Oreochromis niloticus: one gene and its partners. The protein of the gene in region 1 interacts with the protein of each later gene in a pairwise test. Links are inferred from orthologs where the notes say so. Each region holds a gene or a part of one and is shown on either strand. Other genes may lie near its edges. The genes, in order: lyar, prkra and bend7.

What was found.
Region 2: the proteins of lyar (region 1) and prkra interact in binary tests that used the Homo sapiens proteins (3 or more experiments, as listed by UniProt). The two-hybrid records come from large-scale screens. The link is inferred for Oreochromis niloticus from reciprocal best matches to the Homo sapiens genes LYAR and PRKRA.
Region 3: the proteins of lyar (region 1) and bend7 interact in binary tests that used the Homo sapiens proteins (3 or more experiments, as listed by UniProt). The two-hybrid records come from large-scale screens. The link is inferred for Oreochromis niloticus from reciprocal best matches to the Homo sapiens genes LYAR and BEND7.

What each region holds. Positions count from the first base shown.
Region 1 is NC_031970.2:28,788,410-28,798,674, forward strand, and holds lyar (cell growth-regulating nucleolar protein), read right to left. Parts: upstream 4,586-10,265; 5' UTR 4,179-4,585; coding exon 4,057-4,178; intron 3,970-4,056; coding exon 3,855-3,969; intron 3,760-3,854; coding exon 3,652-3,759; intron 3,570-3,651; coding exon 3,489-3,569; intron 3,300-3,488; coding exon 2,975-3,299; intron 2,768-2,974; coding exon 2,705-2,767; intron 2,545-2,704; coding exon 2,459-2,544; intron 2,326-2,458; coding exon 2,188-2,325; 3' UTR 2,036-2,187; downstream 1-2,035. Other genes in the region: zbtb49 (zinc finger and BTB domain-containing protein 49), read left to right, coding at 6,955-7,106, 7,196-8,304, 8,406-8,452, 8,539-8,612, 9,008-9,090, 9,261-9,422. UniProt on the Homo sapiens protein: Plays a role in the maintenance of the appropriate processing of 47S/45S pre-rRNA to 32S/30S pre-rRNAs and their subsequent processing to produce 18S and 28S rRNAs. Also acts at the level of transcription regulation.
Region 2 is NC_031987.2:17,161,881-17,171,831, forward strand, and holds the start of prkra (interferon-inducible double-stranded RNA-dependent protein kinase activator A homolog), read right to left. Parts: upstream 4,385-9,951; 5' UTR 4,193-4,384; coding exon of another isoform or gene 4,162-4,192; coding exon 4,155-4,161; intron 3,395-4,154; coding exon 3,337-3,394; intron 2,509-3,336; coding exon 2,333-2,508; intron 1,835-2,332; coding exon 1,753-1,834; intron 1-1,752. Other genes in the region: casp10 (caspase-8), read right to left, coding at 8,362-8,536, 8,668-9,166, 9,244-9,361, 9,586-9,689. UniProt on the Homo sapiens protein: Activates EIF2AK2/PKR in the absence of double-stranded RNA (dsRNA), leading to phosphorylation of EIF2S1/EFI2-alpha and inhibition of translation and induction of apoptosis.
Region 3 is NC_031972.2:55,930,874-55,941,141, forward strand, and holds the start of bend7 (BEN domain-containing protein 7), read right to left. Parts: upstream 4,550-10,268; 5' UTR 3,329-4,549; coding exon 3,265-3,328; intron 2,668-3,264; coding exon 2,590-2,667; intron 2,505-2,589; coding exon 2,151-2,504; intron 1,955-2,150; coding exon 1,835-1,954; intron 1,758-1,834; coding exon 1,411-1,757; intron 998-1,410; coding exon 890-997; intron 773-889; coding exon 655-772; intron 579-654; coding exon 465-578; intron 313-464; coding exon 271-312; intron 1-270. Other genes in the region: prpf18 (pre-mRNA-splicing factor 18), read left to right, coding at 4,779-4,844, 5,375-5,452, 5,679-5,705, 7,279-7,380, 7,501-7,614, 7,785-7,931, 8,106-8,174, 8,941-9,081 and 2 more.

The DNA of each region.
Region 1 (10,265 bases):
AACCTAATCTTGAATGTGAATGTATACATTTACATAGCTGTGGCAGCAATCTGACACTTCTGTTATTGTTGCTTGTAATTCTGAGCCCTAAATTTTTTCTGTTGAGACTTGAGACAGAATTTTTTTTTAATACTTTATGGTTTGTCTATCACCAATTCATAAATGCAGTTTAGCAGCTATAAATGCCACAGAGTCCAGCTTTTTGTTGGAATGTTTTTATTATTTCTGTAATATATGACTATTGGAGTGACATATTGCTAAAATTCTAATTATTTAAATCACATAAATGCACAACTCCTGCATGTCCTCATCTTTAGGGAAAATGAAAAAAAAATATGACCCCTCTTATTAAAATATATTCAAATACCTCACTGAAATAAAACTGTGTAACAGTGCTGAAAATCATACAGATGTAACACTTATATCACAATTTTATAAACCAAAAATAAATAAGTTAAAAAAAAAGCCTTAGTGCTGTGGAAAACTCTTGAGCCACCCAATCTATCTGGAGAAGCCAATCCATGACTGATAGTGTTTCACTGTGTGTTTTTTTCTTTCCAGGTATGCTTTTACTGCATTGGCACTGTGTTTTGGATCATTTTCATGCTGCAAAAAGAAACCTTTGCCAATCAGATACTTTCCAGATGGTACTGCATGGTGGATCAAAATCTGATGGTACTATTCTGTGTTCTTAAATCCAATAATTTTGACAAGATCTCCAAACTGGGTGAAATGGAGCCCCAAATCATGACAGAGCCTCCACTGTGTTTAGTGACCATTTGTGATGAGGTTTCAACAAAAACTACATCTTTTACATCTTTTTGATCTTGTGTCAGGTCTTTGCTGTTTTTTTTCTTCTAATTCTTAAGGGTGGCCAGATGCCATTTTCTTTTCTATTCCAGTATATTAAAATCTTTCAGACACACCGCACACCATGACAATCTATGCCAACTTTTCATTCTTTTATTTGTGCAAAAATGTTATTTTGTCTTTGAAACCTTGTTATTCTCTGCATTTTGTAGATTCCATAACCAGGAATGGATTATATTGGGGGTTTTTTTTGGACAGGCTGCTGATTACAAAGTCCCCAAAGACACAATATAAAAATCAGTTCCTTTTGTAAGTTGCCTATGCAGGCACAACATCGGCCAATTCCTCGAGTAAGGTAGCTTTTTTATGCTTGAATAATTCATAGATGAGTGAAAGAAAATGGAGAGCTATACCAACTAGACTGAAAATAAGTCTTTAAAAAACAAATTATGAGAAAGTCTGGCTCTTTGGAAGTGAAATATAAATAACATTTTACACAGAGCTGTACGTTTCATAATTTCACTTTGATACCAACGGCATGTTATTAATCATATACAGCAGACTAAGGCCTGAATAAATGCATTTGTTTTGCAGTGAAGATGTAGTTTCAGTATTCTGGGGGGTCTGGATTAAATCAACAGAATTAAGCTCTGCTGAGCCCAGGTGGACTAGAAAACATCATTTTAATACTACCAAACTTCAGTTACAGCTTGACTAAAGCCCAAAGTATGTAATATACAATTACAAGGTAAGCAGTGTGATGAATGAGCATCAGTGTTAAACCTGCTGGGATTAGCTGAGCTTCATAAAGCTGGGCAGATTTCCTCCTGTTTGTGTGTGCGTCTGTGTCTGTGTGTCTGCGTGTGCGTACAGGGTAAAGAGACTGCTCATTCTAGTCGTGCAAAATCAGACAGCATTAAAACTTCACCTGAGGCTGACACCAGGCGTCTTGCTTCTATGGGGCTTCTGTGTCCCTGGCCAAGTGAACCCCGTTCGGGGTGCCGAGGAATGTGCATTAACTTCGTCCCGTGTGAGAGTCTAATTCACCTCAGGTGCACCTCTCCCGTTACCCTTCCCCCACTCTAACATCCAATCCCACAGATAAGGTGCCATTTCCCAGCCTTACCGTGAGCTTGGAATGCGTAACAGAGCAGCCATCTATCACAATTGTCATACATTAAACAGTACTAAATTTTGGAAGTCAAACAGGAACCAGACACTTAAATCAGTGGTAAAAATGTTTTATCTTCAACATCATGTCAACTGTATTTTTAAAAAAAGGAAGTCCAATGTAAGATGACAGACAACAATAAGACAATGATGGCTTTGAAATTTTAAAAATCTATGCAATATGTCAAAAGGAGAAGATGAATGAGTCTACTTTACAAGTCTAACTCTATCTTTCAAAACTCTAAGCTTTGGATTTTTGGTGATCTTGTTGTTGAAAAGTGCTAGCACTTCTTCCTCCTTCTTAAAATTCCTATCACCAGTGTAGGAATAGTAGGCAGCCAAAACCTGAAAAACATGAGCAAGCTTTTACTTTAGTGTTAATAAAAGATTATAGAGTTTTGAAACTTTAAGAGTTTGATATACAAATAAACAACTTCATCCTCATTTCATATAGCAATGAAAACACTTCATGGCTCACCTTCTTTCTGAGTTTCTTCACTGACATTTCCTGGTCAGGTGACTCTCTCAGTACTGCCTTGATGTTCCCCTTCCAATTAAATTTGCCTGATGAGAAACAGAAATCAGCTTTCAGTGCAGACACTAATCACCAAGGGTCACTTTCTCACTCTGAACAAAAGAGGCAACACTGACCTCTGCTGCCTAATCACGGACTAATCATTTATTAAAGCGGGGCAATCTCAAGTCATTGCTAGCTCCACCGTACCTTTAGTAACAGCTCGATCCTCAGTCTCTTCTTGATCATCAGCATCCTCCATTTCTTCATCAACTGGAAAAGGATGATAACAGAGTTATCTAATAAATATGAAATACACACACACTTTAGAACAAAAAAATAAACATAAATCTGACCAGACTTCACAAAGCTGCTGATGTAAACATCCTCAATCTATGCTTGAGTGTTAGAGAATACCTAAACTCAGTTTAACCATGACAGTAACAGATAATGTCTAGCACTTCAGAAATCTTGACTCACCCTTTGTTTTCTTGCTCGATGTCTCATTTTCAGTGCCATGGCTGTTCTCATCATCCCTGGGTTCTTCAGAGAGCTGTTTTCTCTTTCTGTCCTTTTTCTTTTTGCCCACCATTTCTTCCTCCAGCTCTTGTGCGACTGTATTTTCAGCACCTTTTGTAGCTTTCCCATTCTTCTGCTGTCGGGCCTCTTTGCGTTCCCGTTTGTTCAGTTTTTTCTTCTTCTTCTCTTCCTCAACACTTGGGTGGCCATTCGGCTCTTCTCTTCCATTAGTGTGCACTTTGACTTCAGCCGCTGTCTGCCGAGCTGGCTGTGGGGGCTCTGAAGCCTGTCAGACAGTGGCAGTTAAAGACAATCACCACAGCTATTGTAAACATGCTAGACTCTTTATTTTTATGGCATACTTGATGTTAAAAGGAGCAGTTTGCTTCCATTCATTTCCTGGTAACATTCAAATTTAATAAGCACACATTCACAGAAAAAACAAAAAACATGAGAACTAACAAGCCTAACTTACGTTATCAGCTGCAGCAAGTATATTCCACACTTCCTCCTGCAGACTGGGGTTTGGTATTTTGAGACTATTTTTCATCCAGTTCTGATGGGAAAAGAAAAATGTGACAGTAAATCAACATTAACATGACAACTGATTACTTTGTACAGTTTTAAGTAATACTAACCTGAAACTTGGCCTTCTTTCTAGGTACGTTATCGTAAGTACTGACTTGCTGGAGGACATCTCTTAGCTTTGCACTGACTCCAGGTTTGTTCATGGCTTCGTGGACTTTCTTCAGGAAAAGGACAAAGGTAGAACAGTTGGCTTTCCTAAGTGATCCAAAAGCTTTGCAGAGTTTTTCTTTTCTTTTCCTTCCCTGAATCTTACCTGGAGCCACTGCTGCTGTTTCACATCTCCTTTGTTTGTTTTCGCCTCGTAGCCTTTGCCTCCATACTTCTGATCTTCACTGATGCATTTAATGTGGGTTTTGTAGTCATCGCCCCTAGTACAAAAATGCACACAAATCGTTAGCACCGAGCCTGATCTAGCGCCTGTTAGCCTGGGGTAGCAGTGAACAGTCGTTAATTACCAGAAGTCTTTTCCACAGTCGATGCAGGACAGGACCTGGCAGCCCCGGCAGATATTTACATGTTTATCAACCTGAGCTTTTTTTAGGGACTCCCCACAAGCGTTGCAGGTGAAAAACACCATATTCAAAGACTCTCCTGTTTGGCTAGAGTGCGGCGATAACGGTCAAAACTGAACCGGCCTACACTCTGCGGTACTGACCTATAAACCGAAGTCGGTTAAACTCTCATGCGAAAGCTGAACGCATGTGACAGCGCTGATACGAGCTAACGTTAGCCAAAGAACGGCGGCAGACCCTGGTCCCCTAAAACTGTAAAACACTACAAAAACAAACCATCTCCTGGGAAAAGTGGAGGTCAAAACGGTGTGAGCCCACGGATTAAATCTGTTTCCTCAAAATCACATTTGAGCGCAAACGTTCAGCAGCTTCGTTATATTACAAACTTTTCCAAACACACATTAGGGTACCACTACCCAATCTGTACCGGAAACACGATCGGTACCACGCATGTGCGAAAGGCCACTACTTCCGCTCGAAGCATTTTACGGGGTCAGAATATCTGTTAAGATGTTAACAATAATAAGTTTCTCTTAAAATTTTTGCAGTAATGAAACATTTTAATATAATGTAGACAAAAACGAGAAAAAAAAAAACAGTTACGGATCAGGACTCCCCGATCCGTACCTCGCATGTGCAGATGTTCTCTTCTTCACCTGTTTCGTTTAATGGAAGTTTACTCCCCAGTGTACAAGGATACTGCCACTTGCTGACCGAGCGAATGAGCCCTGTTGTAAACTGAACTAGCGTCATTACAAATCGTGTTTGTGTATGCGTTAAATTTGATTTAGTGATAGTCGAGTGTGTTTATGATTGTCTGTGTGGAGAGGATTGATTGGAATAGTGATGATGATGTCCGCCATCACTGTCAATTGTCAGTAAACACTTAATCTGGCTGACGAATCTTCACGTGACATATTACTAAGTCTGTATTATTAATTCAATCTTCAACTCACTTAGCGAAGGTCTTTTGTTTTGCCATTTACACTTGTGCCATTTACACTTATGGATATGGTACAACAAATTTCCCACGTGTGGAACTAATAAAGGTTATCTTATCTTATCTTTGCCCATAATTATTACCACACTGTGTAGCATGGCAGGTTCCTTAGACAGAATATCATTATCAGGTGTCACGTGAAGATTCATCAGCCAGATTAAGTGTTTACTGAAAATTTGTAGATGAGGAGGGACATGCTCTAGGACACTACGATTTTTGCCAAAAATTTAATATCCAATGTTCTTAAAGTAAATTTAATCGGGTTGTAAAATTCCATTGTCACTTAAAAACATAGTCGTAAGTGATATAATATATTCTGACATCTCCCCCAAGTTAAGGTAGTTATATATAGATGGTATTCAGTTTTGTGATGTTAAATGCAATAATAAGTTTCTAAGATCTTCCTTAAGGAGTCTTTATTCTCCAAATTTATTTAGACGTAATTACATATTAAAAGATTTCCAAAAGGAAGAAATTGAAAGAATAAGAACTAATTATATCCCCTTCCCTATCCCTCCTAAAGGGAAAGAAGTCCAATTCAAAATTTTAAATAAAATTAACCCAACAAATACGCTCCTTGGTGATAGATTTAAGGTAGAAACTATTAATTGTGTATTTTGTGAAACAGAAGAGAAGGATTTGCACCATCTATTTGTTTTTGTGCAATTTTATACAAATCTTTTGGTTGGATTTTCATACCTGGCTTCAATCGAGTGGGATTCAAATTACCCCATGTACCTTAAATATGATATTGTTTGGAATGTTTCTGAAGGAAAAGAAAGTCAATTATGGTGTTAATGTTTTATTAATCTTGTGTATACAATATATACATAAATGTCGTTTTTTAAGACCAAACCAACCTTATTTCACTGGAAAAACGACCTAAACCTGTTGTTTAAATCTTTGACTTTAGTTAAAAAGAAAAAGGCTGCATTTTTTGTTTCCTTTTTGGAAGATTTTGATTTAGTGAGTTAATACTCTGTTAACTTTTATGACCCCGTCTTCTTTTAACCTTTGTACAAAGGTTGAAATTTGTATTTTCTGAATGTATAATATATGGTGCATTTTGTTTGTATGTTGATTTTGCTAAAAAACAAAACAAAACAAAACAAAACACCGGACCGTTTGGTCGCTACATTATTAGTCTTCCCTGTGCAAATGCAACCAAAGAAAAGTTCCGAGCAGGGTGGAAACGATCCTCGTGTAACTTTTTTAAATAAGTATGAACCACGTGGTTACTTTTAGCATGTCCTCTCCTTACAGTGACTTTAGCCGTTCCATTATTTAACATGGTATATCTGTATAATGGTTAACGATATTTATTAGCGTTTAGCAACTCGAAATTGAAGCTACACCAGGAAGTGACGTTTGTCATGCCTGTCGAAAAGTGACCTATCATCCAAATAAAAGTTGGAATCCTTTAATGTAAGTTTGACCCCCAACTTTATGGGCTAAGATAATATATAAGTCACAGTACCGAGGAGCAGTTCTCGATTTTAAAAGTAATTCATTCGGGATTTTGTGCTCAATCGATTTACACCGCTTAATAACATGGGTGGCTAGCGTAGCTTTGTAGCTAAGCTTAGCAGTTTGTGTCCAATTTTTGCATGGGTGGTCTTGCTGCAGAGGCACACTGGATTCTGCGCGGCTGTTGAATCCCATATGTCAATACGGTCTGTTCAAAACTGCTGTTAGCGCTTCCTGGCTCGCTGGCAGGAGAAATAAAAGGAATAACAGCTCTGGCTAATCACTCGTTGTTGTTGTCTGTTTTTAACTTGGGTCCCCTTAGCTCGCTTTTTGATGAAGACTTTGGAAGTGAGTGGTGGAGCCGCTGAGTAACCATGGACAGTTTGTCCAGCCACAGCTCCTACCTCCTCCAGCAGCTTCAGGAGCAGAGGATTCAGGGTCTGCTCTGTGACTGCATGCTGGTTGTCAAAGGTGTTTGCTTCAAAGCCCACAAAAACGTCCTGGCCGCCTTCAGCTCCTATTTCAGGTGCCATTATCTGTTTTGTAATAAACGTTAATCATACAGAGTTGCTTCAAGGTTTCCGGATGCATTAAGTATTACTCTGATCTTTTCAGGTCCTTGTTCCAAAATTCCCCCAGTCAGAAGAATGACGTGTTCAACCTAGTTATCCAGGATGTCAGTGGCATTGGCCAGATATTGGACTACATGTATACCTCCCATCTTGATATTAACCAAGATAATGTGCAAGCACTCCTAGATATCGCACAGTGTTTGCAGGTTCCGAATGTGCAGAGCATGTGCAATGCTTTCCTCAAGCCCTGTCCTCCGCCAGTGGAAATGCCTTCCTTTTCTCTCTCAGGCATGTTGGGTTCAGAGCATGACTGCCTGCTTGGAAGCAGTCTTCCTAACGATGTTGACCTGCCCTGTCCCTCTGAATCCCAGAGGCCTGGCTTCAGCAGTGACGTGGACCACACCAGAAGGATGCCAATCTCTGTGCCTAACAGCAGCTCACACTGTGAAATGGGTAGCAGCTCTCAGGCACCAGTAGAAAAGCAGCTAGCTCATGGTTACAAGCTCCGCAACTTCTACAGTAAGCAGTACTTTAAACAAAGTGCAATACAGAGCAATAGTGCAAATTCAAACCAGGGCCCTTCAGTGGTGGAAGAGCAGCAGTGTCAACTTGCGATAAGCCAGGCAGGCAACAGCACCCCTGTGAACTCAGGAAACACAGTTCAGCCTAATCAGTCTTCCATATCAGTGAGTGTGGACAGGAACCCTGACTCTTCTCTCACACCCTCAGATAATCTAAACACTCCTAACCCAGATTCCTCAATGAACAAGCCAGTGCGCCCAAAGAAGGCCGTCTACCTGAAGAAATATAACTATCTTCGGTCTCAGAAGGCTTTGGAGGAGATGTGCACTGAATCAGTTATTGAACCTGTCCTTAGCTGTTCAAAGGTGAGCCTTCAAGGAGAGACAGTGGTCCAGGTTCAAGCACCAGAAGCTCCTGTAGAAGATAGCACTGCAGCCAGAGATGAGGTTACAGACACAGCTGCAGATGCACAGCTTCCCAGTCCTCCACCTGTGAATGAAGAGGAGCAAAATCTAAAGCCTGTGCCGGAGCCAGCTCAGCAATCAGGACACAAGCAGTACTGCTGTGAGGTGTGTGGGAAGATCTTCAAACACCCGAGCAACCTGGAGCTGCACAAGCGCTCGCATACCGGTATTTCCTGATTTTAACAGCTCTAGAATCACACATTTAACGTTGAATTATAGGAATTAATTATAATGCTCTTAGGCATAAACTGATCTGTTCTGTTATAGGCGAGAAGCCCTTTCAGTGCAACGTTTGTGGAAGAAACTTCTCACAGGTATTTTCTTTTGTGCTCTTCTAATTTAATAGTTATTCTTAGATGTTCACATTAAACTCAGATGTCTGACAGATTCTGTCTTACAGGCTGGAAATTTACAGACACATTTGCGGCGTCATTCTGGGGAAAAACCATACATCTGTGAGCTGTGCGGGAAAAGGTAAAGTTATTTGGATTGATTTTCATTTGTCTTCTTGTGCCATCACCCTGTCTCTACTTTAAGCATTTTCTTGGTTTAACTGAGTTTGCCTTTACTAAGACAAAAAGTGCTTCCAAAGTTTTCCCAGACTTGATAATATTATTCTATCAGTTGTTCAACTTCACACAAAAATTATTGTAGTTGCATAACAACCTGCTAATGAAGAACTGCTGTGAGTAATTAACAAAGTGAAAGAAAATAGATTAAATAGTTGTTGTGTAGCACATAATATACTATAATATCAAATAAATACATGATATGATATTTTCCACTTACCATATATAGATATAGAGATATAGAGATATCAAAACTGATGATTTCTTTACTGTCCTTTATTATTCATCTGTGTTTTCCAGCTTTACTGCATCAGGGGATGTCCAACGTCATAAAGTGGTGCACACAGGAGAGAAGCCACATCTGTGTGACATATGTGGCCGAGGTTTGTGGCATCTCTCAGCACGAGCAATAATCTCCGTCACTCACTTGATAATACAACAATCTGGGAATTTGTAATGTCTTACTGCTAAAGTGAGCTCCTGCTGATGTTTAATAGTAGCTTGAGCTGCTTTTATTGAGACATGCATTTCTTGTTCCGTGTTTATTGTTCAGGATTTAACAACTTGAGCAATCTAAAGGAGCACAAAAGGACTCACGCGACAGACAAGACGTTCACCTGTGACCAGTGTGGAAAGTCCTTCAACACGCACAGAAAGCTTCTGAAGCACAAGGCCCGGCATGCTGGGGAAAAACCTCATAGCTGTGCCACCTGTGGTAAGTTATAATGTCACAATTTATTTTTAAAAATATTTTTAAGAGTCTACAACAGGCACAGTTATTTAACATAACTTTCGGCAATATTTCAGTAATAGAAAATCAAATTTATTCTCAGGTTGGAATAAAAAAAAGTCTGGACTAGAAACTTCCTAGCAGCCAAACTGTTAGGTGGAGCTCGACACTGCTTAGTTAAATAGTTCCCATTTTTGAAAACAAAAAACAGCAAAATGCACAAAAAAGAAAAATAATATTCAACTGCTAGTATTGTATTTTCTATACTTTGTAAATGCACTTTAACTACTTTTAGTGCAGTTAAATCAACACATTTTAGGGTCAACATGAAAGAAATGCAGATGTGATATGTGAACGTGAGATCAGAGATCTAATTTGACACGATATTTGGATGCAAACTTTAATGTGATATTTAGAATCCCCATTTACTCGTATGATTTCCTAAATATCACCAATACAAAAAATGGCTGTAAGAAACATAGTTTTAAGTAGCTCTACATAGCCTTATTATTAACACTTTGACCTTTGACATAGATTAATCTTTTGACCTTAAAGGAGAGGTCAGCTATGATATGATATTTTCAATACTGTTATTGTTCATCTATATGCTGACAGTAACCACCAAACTAGTTATAAGGCTTTTTATACATTTTCAACCTACAAATCATTCAGTTGACCTTAAAGACCTTGGTGGAAGTAAGCATAATTTTAATGCATAACATAACATAGGCTCCTTGGTGGAGGTAATTACCATTAACAATGTACAATTTTGCCACAAAGGTAGACCCAACACCAAAACAGCAGCTGTCTCTGTTCCCTTCACTGACA
Region 2 (9,951 bases), on another chromosome or scaffold:
CGCTTGACTTTTCTCAGTTCATGGGCAGTTATTTTGCGCCTTGGTTTTTCCACACGCTTCTTGCGACCCTGTTGACTATTTTGAATGAAACGCTTGATTGTTTGATGATCACGCTTCAGAAGCTTTGCAATTTTAAGACTGCTGCATCCCTCTGCAAGATATCTCACTATTTTTGACTTTTCTGAGCCTGTCAAGTCCTTCTTTTGACCCATTTTGCCAAAGGAAAGGAAGTTGCCTAATAATTATGCACACCTGATATAGGGTGTTGATGTCATTAGACCACACCCCTTCTCATTGCAGAGATGCACATCACCTAATATGCTTAACTGGTAGTAGGCTTTCGAGCCTATACAGCTTGGAGTAAGACAACATGCATGAAGAGGATGATGTGGACAAAATACTCATTTGCCTAATAATTCTGCACTCCCTGTAATTCTAAGAAGCTTGACAGTCAATATTTGGTATGATCACCTTTAACGCATCTTTCTTCAGCACAGCCTAAACTCTTGTCAAGCTTTCTTGTCATTTCTATAAGTAGTCTTCAGGAATAGTAAAAGATTTCTGACAGATATTCAGAGCTCTTCTTTGGGTGTTGCTGCCAGATGTATTATTGTAATTGCTGAAAAATAAAGTGGTTGCCAGTACGATGCCCATCCAGATGGTACTGCTGGGTGGATCAAAATCTGATGGTTGACAAGATCCCCAACACCACTGGCTGAAATGCAGCTCCAAGCCATGACAGAGTCCCCACTGTATTTTTCTGATGGCTGTAGACACTCACCATGCCTCTGTCATGGCCTTCTCTATACATAGTGATGAAAATTTAAAGCAAATATTGTTCATATGTTTGGGGGGGGGGGTTCCGGCCTTAAGTTTCCTCAAATTTTATAAGAACACACTGCACACCAGTCTGAGATACTCGAAGTTTTTAGCTAACAGGATTTTGGAATCACCCAAAATTGGTCCTTTCCTATATTATCTGTTAAGTGTAGCCACAAAACTGGTTCATTTTTTGAGTTATGTAGCTTTTTATTGCTTGAATGATTCATAGGTCAGTGTTAGGTGGCTTAAAAAAACAAGAATCTTCTGAAAGTGATGACATACAAGGACTGAACTGAGTGAAAGAGCAGCCAATGTTTAAAAAGACAAATAACTTTGAATGACCTTCAGAAAGACTGAGGAACTACTGCTTAAAACCATCTTAAAAAATTCAGGAAAGTCTGACTCCTTGATATTAATCTATACACAAGGAGTGCATAGTCATGGCTTTTCCACAACACTCCATAACCAATCCTTTGACAGATGCCACTATAACAAGATAATCAGCATTATTTCTATAATTCCAGTTACTGTTTTGACTTCAGTGTTTAAACAAATGAAAATGGTAAAAGATTCCTGTCAAAATCTTAAACATTTGTGTTTTATGCTATAACAGCCAGTCTATAAAATGTCCAAAATGATTCAAAATGCAGACAGATTGAGTTGTTAAAGTTCCACAACACTGGCACGGTTTTGACTGAAACTAATTTGGGATGCAATTAATTTTTTTCATTGCTCATTAATCTAATTATAGCCTTGACGACTTACCCAGAAAATGAACAAAAAATTATCAGAGCTTTGCTGTTGCCAACTGTATTTGGCAGCACAAAGTCCGCTTGCTGTTCAAAGAGGCAAATATTCATTATTTGCGAACCTCTGAGGAGTACAACTTTTATTTCCAACCAGTAATTTAAATGATTAAGCTCTACTTACATGACTCCAGCGTCTATGTTCATAGCTTTTAGAGCAGCCTCTGCAGCCTGGTGTTTAGCAGCCTTTTTACTTGGACCTTGACCTGAAAAAAAAAAAGACCAATCAGTTGCCTGTGTTATACAATATCAAAACAGCAATAATAATAAACCTAACTGAAAGCCACAGTACCCTAAATCAAATGTAAAGTGTGAGAGGCTAGTGGGAAGAACACAAGGACTTAAACTTTAAAGCCTTTTTTCCCTAAACCATAGGCTTGGTAGAAGATGTTAAATACAGACACTAAGTCATTTCTCATCACCTCAACATGAGGAGCATTCCAACTGCTTCTCACCCTTTTTCTCTGGACCTGCACTTTTCTATGCCTGAAGTGTGATATCTTTGTTAAAAAACAAGGGATACAGAGGGTAAATTTAAACACTTTGCTTCAGCAACAGAAGAGAAATTCAACAAAGTGACAAAGAACATGTTGCAGCCTGAGGTACTCTCTCTGAATTACCACAGTGCAATTTTCAACTCAAATAAAAGCCCTCATTCGGTGACAGCCAGCTATCAACACAGCAGGGGTGACAGCGTAGCCTACCTATGCCGCTTACGTCACCGACTGTCACGCTGAAGACAAAGCTGGGCTGGTGAGCCTCTCCTTCAGCCCTCTCCATCACGTACACAGGAAGGTTTCCGCTTTTCGTGCCATATTCATGCAGGATCTGTATCGGCGTCTTCCCCGAGTTGCTTTTCTGTGATTCGTTTGTATCCAAGCTGCACGTAGTCAACACAAGGACACACAAATTATGAGCTATGACTGTAATAACTCACTCGTTAAATTTGAATGACAGAATAACAAATGACAACAGGATGACTGATTGTGCTCTTAAACTGCTAATAAAATGTAAGAAAAAAGTGAGGATGGTAAAGTAAATGGAGCAGTTCCTTTCAGAGTAATGCAGTCTAGTGAGTCTATTAAAGTTTTAATTGCATCTATTATGTCTCAGAATACACTCTATTGTGATTCCTGTGATATGCCACTTCATTTTCCATATTAGAGCCCGACTTATATATCAGCCGGTATTAGGTATTTGCAGTGCTGATACAGTGTATCATAAAATAGCCATTTATTGGCTTTTACAAACAGCTAATAAATGAACATTTTAATAAATAAATAAAAGAGTAAAGAACAGACAGTAGAAACATCTTTCAACTATAGTATGAGTGTTGATGTTACATAGTTTTGCAACTTTCACCTTCACTTTGTTGTGTTGGCAACACAAAAACCCCAAATACAACAAACAGCGGAACCAAGCAGTCTTGAAGAGCAAAAACAAGTAATCCACGACTTGATGCAGCAAAAAAACTTTCTATTAAAAGTGAATTGTCATATAATCTTAGTAAGAACAATAAATAACAAATAAATACCAACACTTAACAAATGTTAGAAATCTGTTCATGTCTTGAGTCTGAAAGAAAAAAAACCCAAATATGCTGTCCAGTATATTGTTGTTGACTTTTTTAAAATCACCAAATATTGGCATCCTATATCAGTCAAGCTCAATCGGAGAAGACTTATAGATGTAGTGAAAGAGGACATACAGATGGTTGCTGTGGCAGGAGGCAGGAGATGAGCTGTGGAGACCCTTTAAGGGAGCAGCTGAAAGAAGAAGATGATGATTCTGGCACGCATTGCTAAAAATTAAAAGTTCTCTTTTTCTCTGCTTGCACACACTATGTACAGCAGAGGTTTTCCCTATGTGCCACATAAATTAACAAAGCAGCTTTGTAGACTATATACATTTAAAACTGTGAGTGTCACTCTCTTTGTAGACTGTAATGAAGGTATTGGGCCTATGGAGATTCACGTCATGGATGTGCAGCCAACAAACCTGCAGCAACTGACTGTGCGATGCTGTCATGTCAGTATGGAGCAACAATCTCATTCACCACCTTGTTGAATGAGGGAGCACTGAAGGCAAAAGGTACCATTCATTCCCTACCATCAGCATCATCGCCCCACGTTTTTAACCCTGAAAGTTATACTTCTACCGCCATCTTTGTTATGACTGAATTCTCCCATTGATTACAGCTCTAGGGTATTTGGCTACCACCTCTTTCTCTCTGATGATAATGTCTCCTTTTCATACAGAGCGGATAGCTGTGGTGAATCACTGCAGACATTTTTTTTTTTTATTTACCGCCATTTAATTTAAAAGATTAGTGAAAGAAACAACACGTAAATACAACTTAAGACCAAATACTTGGCACGACTTCTGCTGTAGCTTCTAGCTAATATACCATAATATGCACTTTAATTTAACTACATTATTATTTGACATAAACTAGACATGTAAGCGGTTTGGTTGATTGTGCACCGTTACCTCTTATCACACGACTACTATCAATAAAACACTGACCTCGCATCCTCGCTTTTCACTGCTGGTGATTGAGACATGTTTGCAGCTCACGGTTCCTCACAGGTCTGATTACAGACTCTGTTCCGGCCAAAACAACTTTTAAACACGACGATGAGATATTTTTCTGGACATCTAGCAATGATTCTGTGATGAACATTAAGTGGCCTGGCAACGCTAGCAACTCCTCACTGTACTTTCGCCGGGGAAATCGCCAGTTTAACATTATATCAACATCCGGATCAACGCGGGTCAAACGCAGGTCAGAATGTGTGAGCTAAAGCGTTTACTGCCACCTACCGGTGAGTCGTGCCTATTCAACTGGACGCGACAGTGTCCCCGTAAAAACATGTTTTAGATTATTTTTTAATAAAAAAATTCAAAAGATTAAATTGTAAAAAAAAAAAAAAAAAAAAAAAAAAAAAAAAGTTATATTAGCTTATCTTTAAACATTTACAGTTACTATTTCTACTGCTACTACTACTACTACTAGTGTTACTACTATAATAATGATAATAATAATAATAATAATGATAATAATAATAATAGCTGGCATTGACAAAAAGAACACAAAGAACAGCAAGGCTTGTTTAAACAGCAATATAAATCAAAACAACAGGAAACTAGGTATCATAGATTGTGAATGTAAATGATAACATTTTCTGCTGGCTATAGAGTAGAGGTGGTTATGGTCTGTCCCCATAGTAAGAGTATGATGCAATTAAATCTAATGCAGTTGCAATGGTAGCACTGTAATTTTCCAGTTGCTGGTTTTTTCTTTTAGTTTTTCATTTGATGTTTATTTTATTGTTCGTTGATGTTGTTCGGCAAGAAAAAAGCCAGTTCAAAAGAACAATCCTGCTTTCCATGTGGGTACTCCAGAAGGCTGTTTGTCAAGTGTTTAGTAGATGAATCCTTAAATTAAATTTACTGGGGTAAATAACAAGTGCTTTGGGTGGAGAAGGATAAGGAAATGCATTCCAGACAACCTCATCCCATTCTTGAAACATGGTGGTGATGCGGTCATTGTTTGGGGTCTGTTTTGCTGCATATGGGCCAGGACAGCTCACCATCACTGAAAGAGCAATGAATTACATGCTACGCCTCCGAATTCTAAAGGAAAATGTCGGGAAATTTGTCTGAACTAAATCTCAACTGAAAGCGGGCTGTGCAAAGCAACGGCCCTAACCAATCAAGTGGTTCTACAAAAGGATGGTCATAGAGAAATTAAGTTATTATATTTAAACCAAGAGAAATCTCATGAAAGAGCCCGAAGTAAGGAAACAAACCAATGTCCAAAGCTTTAAGACAACTGAGCTTTAAGCTTTAAGCTTAAGGTTGTGTTAGACTGATATATGACTGTCTACTGTTTTCCTAATTATGTTAGACTGATATTTGTTACATTTGTTTAGTGTAAAATGCCACATTTGGACAATCAGAACAAAGGCTAATTTCACAATTATTCATAATTTTGGAAATAATATTCATTGGTGTATATTTCTTAGACCATATTTTTCTCATATATGTATTTAATGTAGTTTTATATGCATAGTGTATTGTGGTTTTATATAACTGAATGCTGTAAATCTTGATGTGCGTTGTGGATGTGAAACACCAACGAGGGACAAGGGTTGGAAATTAGGGCGCATTTTGATTCACCACTGAAACACATGAAATTGCCTCTAGAAGCCAAAGTTGGTCAGGCCATACTGTTAGTTATGGTTGAATTTCATTCGATCCTGACCTCAACTCACCAGCTTGCCTGTATAGATATTATAGATGTACTTCTTGCTGACTTACTAAAGCAGGCAGCTTTTTTAATGTCAGGGGGTTGGTAAGTAGTTAGTAACCAGATTAAACCCATTTGCTTTTGTATTTTAAGTCCTTTTATAACTTTTACCCTGCAGTACTTTAAACTGGCCGATCATTTCAATGAGCAGAGAACACACTATTTCAGTTATAGTCTACAGCTTGCTTAAATTGCTGTCATTCAAACACTCTGTCCATCCAGAAAGAGCTCCAGTGTAGGCTGAAAAGTTATGCAAATTCATAGTTACATTTAATTTTACTCATATAATACACACCTAACACCCTAAAGGCAGTGCAGGGCAGGGAGACTGATCTGGGTGTCTCTCAGTCGGACACAAGCAAATCAAAGCAGTTCAGGGGATTTGTATGGAGTCGACCTGAAGGTGGAGACAGAGGTTCAAGTGCTGGGTTTCTGCAGCTCAGACATGGTCGATAACAACAGGAAAGTCGAATCAAACCTACTAAAAACCCACAGCCATGACTAGTACGAAAGTCATTCTTCGGTTTGTGTCATACTTTGTTTTGCCTTGTTTGTCTTTGTGCTCCTCCTTTCTGCTGATCCCTGAGAATTTATTTTTGGAGGGGCAGACTTTGTTATATTTTGTTGTAATTCAGCCACCAAAGTTTTGACTTATCCTTTTACCCCCAAAAAATATAAAAAAATAAAAATCATGCACTCACATAGCAGCTTTCGCAGTGTGTTCCCTGGTCACGTCTCTGTAGAAGTTGCACTGGCAGTCCCTGTCAGACCTAAACATCTATCACTTTCAGCATGTGAGCTGCTCGGCTCAAAGGAAATTACTGAATGCTAAGTAAGAATGTTCTCATGTTTGTGGCACTTTCAGTATATGGTTCAGTGTCTCCTGCTGTAGTCTGGTTCGATAAACAAGACTCAGAGTTAAAGTTGGTGTGCTGATCACTCCATTAGTAAGTGAAAAGTGTTGCAATACGCATAAATCTCTGTCCTATGGATGGATTGTTGAAACCATTTGGAGACAAAACAAGTGAGTGAAGTCTGTCTAAACTGCAAGAGAGGAACTCTTGAATGTCTGTGAGCTATGTACAGTGAGTTCTATGTTGCCATGGTAATGTTACCTGTAACATTTTTCATAACAAAAACTTCTGCAAGAAGTCGAGCATTTGGAGGGAGAAGCAACAAACAATGCAGTAAAAGGAGAAGGTGGTTGACAAGTGACTGGTTGTTACAGGGAAATATGGTTTCAACAGATTATCAGTATGTGGAAAATACTTGTGTGCTGAGGTGTTGCAGCGATAGCACGGACGTTTAGGCAACCTGTCAGAGCAGGTACAGGAACAGAGTGAGGCCTTTCGCTCTGAGTCACACATCCCGTAGGTGTAGCTTTGTCACATTTTGCTTTTAATTGTTGCGATTTTTGTTGTAGAAATTTGGACTCTTGATTATTAGACAAAGTCAAACAAGGCTAAATGTCAAAAGGTTCATTTTAAATCTTAACACATTACTGACTACAAAATATACACAGTATACATCTTAAGCGTTAATGATTGCGGGAAAGGCAGCTGTGACTCACCGTCATGAGGTGGATGGTTCACTAAGGAAGGTGACGTGACAAAGTTTCTTGTGTAAGACAAGTCTTTCTCCCTGACTGCGTTTTTGTCTTGTAAGGATGGCTGTGTGTTACAATTACAATGCTTGTTGACAAAACATTTTTATAAAGAAACTGAGAAGCATTTTTTAGTAGAGTCTGTATTTTGATGTAATGCAGTAGTCGTTGATTTTCACTTTTCACTTACAACAGTTAATTAGGAATATAACAAAACGGGGTAAAGTTTGTTTGTTTTTTTTTTAAAAGAATGAACAATATTAATTACTCTGGTTACATTTCAATCAATTCTGGCACGGCTCCATATGGAGCTGTGCCAGCAGGCTGGCTGCCAACAGACAAGACATCCAATTGCAGACTGCAAGGCTTCATTCATTAGCATCAATGGAGAATCTCTATGGCACTTAGAGAACGTTGTTAGAATCCAACGCTAACAGCAGAATTAACATTAAACTCTAAAAACATCCTGATCGAGAGCATGTTAGCATAAGTTACCATGGTGACTTAGTGAGGTTATCAAGAGCCACATTTATTAAGAACATTAATCCTGATTTGTATCACAGAGGACTAAAATACAAAATATTCTACACAAAACTGCATTAAAAAAATATTTTTTTGATAAAAAAAATTCCTGCATTTCAACAAATTTGTCACATGGAAAAAGGATGTTGCCTATATAATATCTAGATGACAATTAGTAACAGCAGTCACGCACATTCAGTAGAATTTCGACTGAAAAATAAACATTTGAACATAAACTGCTGCATGTTGCATTTAATTCTTGATGCATCCACAGCTCTGAAATAACGTAAAAAAAATCAATTTGACAATGCTTTGTGAATAGATGGAGGAGGGACGTTGGGAACCGGAAAGACCACTTTCTTCCTGAGTGAGAAGGCTGGCTGAGGCATCTGCTTTCTTTGACCATATCGATCACTCTTCTGGCTAACATCTGCATTCACTTTTGTCAGGATTGACATGAGATCACACTCCCTAGGAAAAACAAGATACAGGGTGAGATAATGTACAGTGTTTTTGTTTAAAAAAAAAAAAAAAAAGCATTCTTCTTCATTTAAAAAAATAATAATGTAATTTTATTATATTTGATATTTTGCTTCACTAACCTGGGCACCATCTGAACAAGGTTTTGGCACAAAGACTGAATAAACCAGGAGCCATTGGTTCTCTCTCTGAAGGAAGCATAAAAAGGAACTGTGGCCATTCCCAGCAGAAAATCTGCACTATGTGGGATACCCTCTTCAGCCTTTATAGCATCAGTCCAACAAAAGCTGTATGCAGAGCTATCAGATTCAATGCAGACAGCTTGCTGCTCTCTGTTTCCCTGGCAGGCCTGGATGAAAAACAGCTTAGGCTTGCCCACTAAAGATGGGCAATTTAATCCATTGAAGGGGTCAGTCAAATCACTGATCTTGACAGTGGATCCATCCACACCGTACACGCTGCCTTCCACACCATGACTCAGAACACAGCACACTACGCAGTCAAACTGACGGTGGTCTCTTTTGCTAAGCGTCCTGAACACAGAGAGCATCTTGTTCGCGTCACAGTCATGGTGGTTCTCCACTTCAAAGCCGAGCCACTGAAACACACTCTGCAGACATTCTGGAAGAAACAGACAATCCAAAGATGATGCAGGACCACAAACATGCAGCGTATATTGACTGTCAAAATTTGCTTACTTTGATCCACTTCAGTTCCGTTACGTTTATTTAGTTGGCTGGAGTTACTGAAGTCGTAGTTGTTAACAATTAAACAGATACCCCTCTTTTCAGACGTCATAGGATATGTTCCCAAGCCCTACAGACATAAAATGACACAGATTACAGGGAAGACATGATTCAGTGCATTACTTGTAAACTTCTATTTGATACACAAGTTAAACTCTGAAATGAAAACTAAGTATACAAAGGGAAGAATGATCTCCCTGGAGGGCTCCAGCTCAAATTAAATGTAGTGCCAGGGCCCTAACCAGTGATTACGTTTTAAGCATGTCGCATATATAAGAAAAAAAATACACACACCTCATCTTGTGTGTTTGTAGATGGAGATATCGGCATGGTGAAGGACTCCTTTTCTTTGTTTTCTTGAGTTGATATAGCATCAGTTGTCATAACAGGACAGGTGACTGCAAAGAAGGGCAATTATTGCGGGAGGAACAATTATATTTCAATGTTTTAAACGTCTGATATTTCACAAAAAGCTAAACAAGAGTTTAGCTATTGTTTGAGTCACAACTGCTCGTCTCAGTGCTTAACCCATTCGATTCAGTTTAATTTATACAGTGCTATGTCAAAACAACAGTTGCCTCAAGGTGCTTTAAATTCTAAGGTAAAAGGTTTTGCAACAGTGGGAAGAAAAAACTCCTTTAACAGGAAAAAACCTCCAGC
Region 3 (10,268 bases), on another chromosome or scaffold:
AAAGACCGATGAGCCAATGAGCGAGCTGGCAACACCAGCTTGAGTGTGTGTGTGTGTGTATGCTGTGACAATGATGTGGGGAGAGGTAAAGCCATTGTGTACTCAGAGGGGGGCTGATGGAAAGATTTTGTAAGATGGAGGGCTGACATGAAGGGAACCAGCTACCAGAAAATGGTCAAAACAGACAACTGAATTAATGTATGTGTCTGTGTGTGTGCCCACGTGTGGCAGACACCTTAAGTGTAAAAATCATAATAATGAGTTTAATACTTGTGGATGGTCCATTTGAGATGTCTTCTGCTTCTACAGCATCTGAAGAGCCAAAGACAACATAGATTGACAGACAGCCTTTTCTTTAGCCTTGAAATGAGCTGGCTTATAAGTACTGTTAAAGGAATGGGCTTCCTCTAGCACATTAATCAAGGGAAAATATTAAAATGATTTAAATGATTTAGCAGCAGAACCTCTTTTCAGCCTCCTCCTTGCAAGTTTGATCTGATCTTGAAGGATCTGAACCCAGTCTCGTGGTCCAGGCAACTTCTCTATTTTGTGTTCAGTGCAGTATTTCTCTGTAAAAACTGGACACACACCATAGTTACATTAATGTTTGCTCAGAAATGTAGTTACACTTTAGTTTGTCTTTCTCTGCCCTACCTTTAATGGCACCCACAATGTTCTGGTCCAAGCCCTTACGGTTATCATTTAGCCCTCTCTTCCTTTTGCCATTTGGCAAGGAGTTAGCCAGCGTGGCGTCATCAAAGAAGGCACACACCTAAACACACAGCACAGCTCTTGACCAAGCAGCATTTTTTGTTCTTTGTTGACATTTCACACGATTATAAAATAATCAGAGCAGGAGAAAATGCTTTTAAAAATCATAGACGTGCACCAGTTTCCGGAACAGCAGGCTGCCTGAGCGTGTATAGTTGACCAGAATGGAGTCTAGCTGGGCCTTAGAGATAAACACGTCATAATCCTCTGCAAGACGCACCTCAGACTGTGAAGGAGTCAAGCAACACAGAGTGTTAATTGTAAAGGATTAAATAAATATCACCAGTTGAAATATAAATGAGTTTTTAGAAAGAAAAAGCAAGAAGACGTTATCTTCATTTCTAGCATTAGCTCGAATCATAGATGTGCTGTAAAATAAACCGCAATGTTTGCACAAAGGTTTATGTCTCATTAGGCAAAAAACAAGGAAAAATCAAGGTACTTAAACTTTTTTTTAGGCATGGAGCTTCACAAAAGAAGCAAAGTTTAGGCTGCAAATTATTTTTACATGCAAATACACATACACGTTCAAATTCATAAGACAGGTGCAGTGTACCTGAATCAAATTAAGCATGCAAATGAGGCTTGGTAAGCACACATGTTGCTGCATATGTACATCCACACTAAGGTACAGATTACCTCTAATGCTTGTGATTCCCTTAGTTGGTTCAGGAGAGGAGGGGTGTTGTTGATCGTCACTGGGTTGGTCTGAGGTGGCGGCACAGGAATGTCAGAGGAGATGGGATGATTGTTGGGTGTAGATGAGTCTTGTTTCTCACATTCTCGCCTCTTTACAGATTCCATAGGTGCAGCTTTTAGCAGTGATGCATCCAGAGGAGCAAGACCAGCTCTTCTGGTGCTAAACACGGATAACGGAGTCATCCTATAGATTGGCCTCCTCTTTCGAGGTCTGTGGCGAGGACTGGGTCCTGCACCTAGGCGAGGTTGAGATGGTGGTGCTGCCCTTTCCTGCCTTTCTAAAGATGCTATTAAAAGGCAGAAAAACATTATATTGTGTTTTATTTCTTTATTTTAGGGTGTGTATTGGTATTCATTTACTAACCTTTTTGAGTCTGCATCAACCTCCTCATGGCACGTAGTTCCTGCAAAATAGCCTGCAAGGTGCCCTTACAGTTACACATACAGCAGGGGGTTTCTGGCACAGTAGGAGGAACTACATCTGCTGGGAAATGAGGGATGCATTTGTTAGCGCTCGTTCACTCTAACATATGCACACAGGTGCAAACATGCTTTAATGTAACAACAAAGGTGTAAGCCACTTCTGGTGTTCAGCACTCAATATTTAATGAAATTCACTATTCTTCAAATAACTTAAGGTTTGTTTAGTAGTTTTCTCCTTTCAAACATGCATATCCTACCATTAGTTTCATTCACTTTGATTAAATCCTTTGTGCTGTTGAGAATCCTGAGGGCTCTGGAGCGTGTGCTGTACTGGCCGCAGCCTGGGCCGTTTGGGACTGGGATGGATATGGATGAAGGTGAAGGCCCTGGGTCCTCTGCAGAGTTCCAGCTGTTGCTCTGGTGGTCCTCTGACACCAGAGATAAAAGTGCAGGCTGATTTACCCAGTTCAGAGGCTTTTCCTGGGGCTCCTTTATTAAGCTATCCTGCTCTGTACCAGCACGCTGGTATACTCTGCTGGTCTTATCGCTCAGAAGCCTCATCATTCCTGTGATTTGTCTTTTGATCTCCATGCCCTCATCCTCCAGCCAAACTACATTAAGAGAGAATGGTGCTCATGTAATTACCGACATCTTGTATGATATATAATCAAAATTCATTCTCTGAATCCCACATACCATCAGACATAACACCATCCTTTGGCTCCCCATTGGCATCTTTGGAGCTGGAGTTAATCACATATGAAGGCTCGAAATCTGCAAAGAAAAAAAAAAAAAGAATGGTTTCGTTATGAAGCACAGCTGTAAAGAAACGCAACAAAACCTTGGTGACAGATGTCATAGAATGATATTGCGGCCTTTTGCCTTCTAAGGTTGAAGCTTGTGCGGGCTAATGAGCTGTGATGCCTGCCAAAGCAGAACCCTCCACCTCACCCCCACCCCATCCCATGCAAAAACCACCACCTGTAGGTGGTATGAAGTAGTGTAGTCAAGAGAGGTGGTGTGTTCCTTACAGCTTAAGCAAAAAGTGCACAGTTGAAGCTCCTTGTTACGAGCTCAGAGTGCGCAATATATTTTCACATTTTATTCAATTTGCTTACTTAATTCAGTCTTAAAAATCTACCCGGAATGAGACGCGTTCAGACTGATGTCCAGGATGTTTCTTTTATTTTCTTTTACATGCAAGATGTGAATCCCTAGAGTTAGCTGCTGGTTAAAACCGAAGCACAGACTGGGCATTGTCGCGGCTATCGCTTTTGTTTACAGAGTCGTCTCTGCTGGCGCACAGCGCCAGACAAACACCCAGACACAGACGCGCGTCTTGCAAGGTCTTGCATTCATTCAGCAGCTTACCTCCATCCGTGACCAGTTTAAAGCTCTGCGACTTCCTTCTCCTCTTCCTTTCTCCAAACTCCATCTTCAGGTGGAATATCCAGTAAGTCGTGCAGTGGAAAAATATTCGCTCTTCGGGAGGACGAAATCACTGACTAGGATACACTCAGCGGAATCACTGTCCGTCTGCCTTATTAATCAGTTAAATTTCTTTCCTGCTTGCGCTACAGATTCTCTCATCTCTTCGCAAATATTCGCAGTGTTAAGCTCAAAGTGACCCGTTCAGTTGTATTCTACAGTCCATTCCCTTTGCCAGCATGATGCTGCTTCTTGGCTTCCGTCATGTAAATAAATTAATGACTTTAATATTAAAAAATCGTCACATATCCCTTTGCGCCACCTGATGGTATGTTCTCATCTGAAAGGTCGAGTCAGACATTTGCTAGTGGTGTCCAAACTGTGAACCGGTATTAAACACAAACAGCATTGAAACAGAAAAACAAACTTTAGAGATTTTTTTAAAAGGACTTCATTTTACAGGCTACTGTAGATGAAAAAAAAGAGCCAAAAGCCAAACGTTGTTTGACTGAAAGGAGAAACAAATAACTCAGTTACCAGGTATTTGGTGTTTACCGTGGTTGATATCTTTGTAAATCTATTGTAGTGCATTAAAGGGATCATGCTTCCTCCTCCAGTCATAACAACTGTGTACTTCTAGAGTCACTGGCAGAAAATATAGGAAGTACTATTGAGTCACCTATTACAAGTGAAGGCCATTTAGTCTCTTTCGCTATAATTTTCTTTATCACCAATCTAGAAAAGATGTTGGAGGATTTAAAAAAGATTGAGTGAGGATTTTTCATCTTCCCTTCTTGGAGTATAGAGCATAACTGCCAGATACGTAAAACAAACACCCCTAAGTGTTGACCCTTTTTCCAGATTTCCCTGTTTGGCAGCAGTTTTTAGGATCTTGGGGCATCTGTGGATTGAACCTGTTTCGGTCCATTTTGATGCTTGACACAGTGGGATCACAGTGGTGAGTTTAGAGGTTTTCGGGCTTGGAGCTTGACTGGGCCCCGTCATTGTCCTCAAAATATTAGCTACTGTGTAGTGTTTTGGAAATGGTGTTGGTCTGTTTTGGTGGGTTGCAATTATCAAGGTAAGAGTCTAGGATCCAAATGTTTCACAGCAGAACATGGTGTTGCGATAACCACAACTCAGTGGTTTAATTGTTGGGTTAGCCCAATGTTTGGCTAACTAGTGTGCATACATATCCAGAAAATAATATATAAAGGAGTATCTATTTTCTTCTATCTGTTTGACCTTATTCTTTTGGTGTCTGCTTAAATTCACTGAAAAACAGATTCATTAGACACAGGTTACATTGTGTTCTAATGCTTTTATTTTGAAACAATTATTTTGAAAATTCTGAAAAGCTTCTTGTTATCTTCCGGTTTAGGCAATCGTGTTTCTAACGTTTGGGTAAACGCAGACTGACCTTAATGTGCCGTTTTTTGTTAGAATAAACCTTTCAGATGGATATACTTAAAGCTGAGATCGCAAGAAAGAGGAAACTCCTCGAAGAAAAAAATCTTGTTGAAGTAAGTATTCGACGAAGTTGCTTGTTATTGTTAGCTTGGCTATGTTGCTAACACGTCGTTTAACCAGGCTAGTTAAGTATTTCTAGAATGATCGTTTTTCATCCATATCGATAGCTTTATCTATAAAGTACTGAACTCCATCTGCAGTAGAATATAAAGCTAACTTTAGGATTAAGCTAAACACAGAGCTGTAGTTTACGAATTGTAATTGCTGCTACGTAACAGAACATTACCTTTATAGTATCACGATTTAAGCAGAAATTCTGGTATTTATGCCGTTTAAACTCATCCTAACATATAATTTTTTTATGCAAACATAAGTAAGCTAGGGAGAGCTAGGGGCACATGGCAGTTCATTAGGTACACGTAGCTCAAATTCATCTCAAACTCATGCTATCTATTGCATAACGTCCTACCTGTACCACTGTATCAACAATACCCCCGCCAATCACCACCACCAAATAATATATGATATTGATATCATATGATAGCATAAATTCATTTTACCTGCTTTTTTCTTTTCTTTTCAGGACTCCAAAAGATTCTTTAAAAGGGCTGAGCTCTCACAGAAGGAAAGAGAAGATTACTTCAGAAGATGCGGATACAAGGTTCATGTCAACATCACTCTGCTTCTCACTCTCTCGATTTTCCTGAGACACTCAGACTTATTTAATTCACTGTCTGGCTTGGTTAGTGTGACACAAAATAACGAGTAAACTTTCTGCCAGCAAAAAAGATAAGGACAGGTGTTGATGGTCAGGTGTACAACAGTGTCTGTATTTGTGTTTACTGTGGTGTTTTTCCCCAATTTGCCTCTGCTGCCTGCATCTGTAGGTTCAGAGAGAGACTCCTGAGAGCCAGGTATGGCATTGCACAGTGAAAGTAGCCAACAGGATGCATGATAAAAGGATAAAACACACTGTGTCCTAAACGCTCATGCTTCCTAGGCATCCTTTCTGGAAGTTCTTACTGAAATCTGTTGGGATGAAAACAGAAAAGACGTAGCGGAGGGCACATTTTCTGGTTGTTACAAATAACCACACAAGCACGAGGATATTTTGGTACAGGATGCCTGGACTCACCTAGTAGTAACTTAGTGTATAATAATTGGATATCAGCTGTACACAAATGGAAATATTCACCAGCTCACTTCTGCTGGATAAATTTAGACTTTTCAAGGTGATTTTAAAATTTTAGTCAATAACATGAAAGCATTTTAAAGCTTGATTTAAACTCACCTGCGTTCTGTGGATGGTAAACTGTGTCATTTCCAAATTATCAACATAGTTTAAATGTCATATAAATGAAATATTTATATGTGCCACAGTCATTATCACAGCTTTGCCTTATGCCAGGCTAGTTACATATTACAGCCACTTGTCAGAAAGCAAAGGAACACGGAAAGGAAGCTTCAAAGCAAAAGTGGGACACTGCCACGGTGTTGATTTCAGCATGGGATAATGTACTGAAATGGAAAAGTATTTTTGTTATCAAGCTCTGCTTCTTATTTTTGCAGATAATTTGTGACAGAAGCTTTTAATATTTAAGCAAATTATGGTGTGCAACTTGTTTGCCGTGACATTTTAACAGCTGCTCAGTGGCAGATTGTATTTATGTTATACTTTGTGTAAAGCTTAAAAACCTGGCTCATTAAGCCATTCTCTTTGTACACGGGCAGCGTACTATGTTTTATTTAAAGCGAAAGAGCTGTTGTTTGCTCAGAAGGCTTTTTGTCACCATTTGCTGGTTGTTCTTTTAGATTGTGGTATAAAAAGCACAATCTAAGAGTGCTGGCATGCATGTGCCTTTTAAAGCATGATTTGGGTATATTTTGAGTTTCTTTGTGCAAAGAATACAGAGTATCTTTTCCTGTGATTACGCCTGATGGGTGATTTAGACTTCTTTGGGAAATCGACCTTGTTACTTACAATGTAACCAAAAACACTTTTTAACCCTATGCTGTAACCTTGCATGTAATCTGATGTAACTACACAGCAGGTCAGCACAGCCCGCAACGGCTAGGGTTAACAGGGGTTTCCGGTTGCGTCGTTAGTTAGGATGTAGATTTCCCGCAGAAGCCTAAATCACACATAAGATGTTACAGCCACGAAAGTTATCATGTTGATGTACTATTTGTTATATTCTTTCCTTTTTTTTGGTAACTTATTGTGCTACTTGTCTTTCTTGAAGAGTTGCAGGTAAGGGAGTGGTGTGAATGTTTGCAGTTCTGCTTATTTTGTTGATGCCTTTTTGTCTCTTTGGTCATGAGGTCTCAGCTCATGAAGAAATTGCCAATGCCCCCCCCCCTCTTTTTGTAGTAGTTTTATTTGCCATTTGGCCAAGGAAGATTAGATTAAATTCAGATCCTCCAAATTGCCCTAATGTTCTTCCAATAATGCTGGCGTATTTCTATTCCCTCAATTTTGTCCATAAGATTGAGAAGAAAGAGGAAGATGAGCCATCCACTTCAACTAATCCAGTCTTGGAACTGGAGCTCACAGAAGAGAAGCTCCCAATGACACTTTCACGACAGGAGGTGAGTCAGTATAAAACATCAGCACTTTCCTTTAATTCATTTTCCTTTAAATATCATAACATTTCTTTTGCTTACCACCAAGTGTATAAATATTTGATTTGCATCACTGTGTTTGTGTAGGTTATTCGACGACTTAGAGAACGAGGGGAACCGATCCGATTGTTTGGCGAGTCCGATTATGATGCCTTCCAGAGGCTCCGGAAAATTGAGATTCTGGCCCCAGAAGTAAACAAGGTAGGATTGAGAGTTAACTGGATTTTGGAAAAAACATGCAGTTGAAATTCACATTTATTCCATCTACTCTGGAAAATTGTATGTCACTACTAATGTTCTTGATTGTATTAAGGACATATTGAATTTATTTTAGTGACACTAATAATATTTGCTGCTTTAACTGTGCCAAGGGCTTGAGGAATGATCTGAAAGCCGCCATGGACAAGATTGACCAGCAGTACCTGAATGAGATTGTTGGAGGAACAGAGTCAGGAGAATTGGACACACAGCATGACCTAAAAGTGCACGAAGAAAACACCACAATAGAAGAACTTGAGGTACATTGCACAATGTCCAAGGAGAAAGAATGAATCTCCAGTTATTAAATAGCTTTTCTTTTTTGTCAGATCAATTTTTGGGCACAGTTTGTTTGGGGTTTTTTTTGTTTTTTTTCAATCATTTTATGTTTGTGGGTGGTGTTTTTGTGTTAATAATGAAATTATCCCCCCTAGGCTCTTGGAAAAACTCTTGGAACAGGTGATGATGATGGAGACCAGGATGTTATTGCTAAATTTTTGAGGGTAAGAATTTCATGCTTGACCTTTTGATCTAAAGCAAGGATGTCAAACGTATTTCACACCGTGAGTCACATACAGCCCACTTTGATCTTAAGTGGGACAGACGAGTGAAAAGCCCCTTTCTCTCAGTGTAAAGACGTTTAACTACATATGTAGTCTATGAGATGACTTGATGTAAGGAAAGAAGAAGCATTTGAACAGTGCATCTCAGTTTTTCTACATGATAAATGTAGAAAAAGTTCTGTGAGCTTATGGAACAGATTGTCTAGTATTTATAAAAGAGTTTCTATTAATAAAAGTTTTTATTAATTTAAAGAAAATGTTTTGTTTTTTTAGATGGTGAAAAACAGGAGCTTTTCTCTCATTTCAATGTATATCTATTACTTAACTCTAGGGGAGGTCTAGATCAATAGGAAAAATTGTAAAACTAAAGTTAAATTTCCACAAATTTATACCCTTCACAATTTCCAAAGCTTTCCAGTGGGGCTAATTGGTGTGTTTTTTGGGGCAGATTCTGGCCCCTGGGCCTTACGTTTGACACCCCTAGTTTACAGGGAGCTCTTGGGTTAATATTAATTATAAAAATTTAAAAAAGTCATACTACTATACCTGCTGCTGTTTATATGTTTACATAGTTAAAAAAGTTTAACCTTTCGCACCATTATTCTTTTTGAAGTGGTTCAAATAATGGATATTTGTCTAGTGTTGGTTACCGCTGCATTTCTTGGAAACATTTTCCTCAAAGAAAATATTTGTTGTTGGACTCTAGTTTCTTCTTGGCGTTTGGGCCAAAGATCTGAACAGCCGAGAGGACCACGTGAAGCGCAGCGTTCAGGGCAAGCTGGCCAGTGCGACACACTCGCAGACCGAGTCTTACCTCAAGCCTCTCTTCAGGAAGCTCAGGAAGAAGGTAACTTATGTGACCGGAGCAAAACAAACTATAGTGCGTGGTTCTTTCATGTGTGGATTTACTTTTCATCATTATCTTTTACAGAACTTACAAGCTGACATCAAAGAGTCAATCACAGACATCATAAAATTCATGTTGGAGAGAGAATATGTCAAGGTATGATAATATCATGTAGCCTCTGTTGTTATTTTTGCAAAGTTATTTTTGCATCCATTATAAACTTTCCTAAATGTCTTTCAGGCAAATGATGCATATCTACAGATGGCCATTGGTAATGCCCCCTGGCCAATTGGTGTGACTATGGTGGGAATCCACGCCCGTACCGGACGAGAAAAGATCTTCTCCAAGCACGTGGCCCACGTTCTTAATGACGAGACGCAGAGAAAATACATTCAGGTTAGAGCCAGAGTTACACACACACACACTTATGTTTTTATGATAACCTGTTGCTGAGACAGACATGAACAGCTTTAGATATCACGGCTGAGTAGTTATTCCTATTTTACTTGCATGTGCAGCGTGTATAATTGGTGCAGTATAATGTAAATGTGAATTCCTCACTGACGAGTCAGCACTTTGGAAATTTACATTACCCTGACCCATGCTGACTTACAGATATGGAAATATAATCAAGGCTTCAGAGTGTTTACACGTCTATAATTTGGTTTGTCTGATCTGATTCAGTTGATGAAGTTGAACTTTTTTCATACAGTTTGATTTTAGTTGTGTCTGGGGCATGGCCAACAAAAGTACAGGAAGAAGGTGCTGTGTTTTGGAGTAGTTGGCCTGTGGTTGATTTTACAGCTACCTGCTATAGTTTGTGTACTCTGCACATGTATGGTGCTATGACATATCCCAGAATACAAAGCGTACCTGGTTACGGGAAAGTATTTAGCTCAAACTTGCACTGTGCGCCTTGTAATTTGGTCAGGTTGGATTTTTTTCTGTACCCGAGTCCAATCGTTGTGTTCACATCTGCACAAAAGAACCACACCCAGTGAGAAAGCAAATCATAATTTGATTCAAGCAAGCTAAATAGTACTGGTGGGAAAACACCCTTAGACTTTAAAGATTACAACTTGAAAAGATTTTAAAGGTTTTTAAAAGATTTTAGAAATGTTCATATGGTTTTACACACAGGCATGTGTATCCTCTTGATTTCAGTGGTGTTTTTATGTAAACCAAAA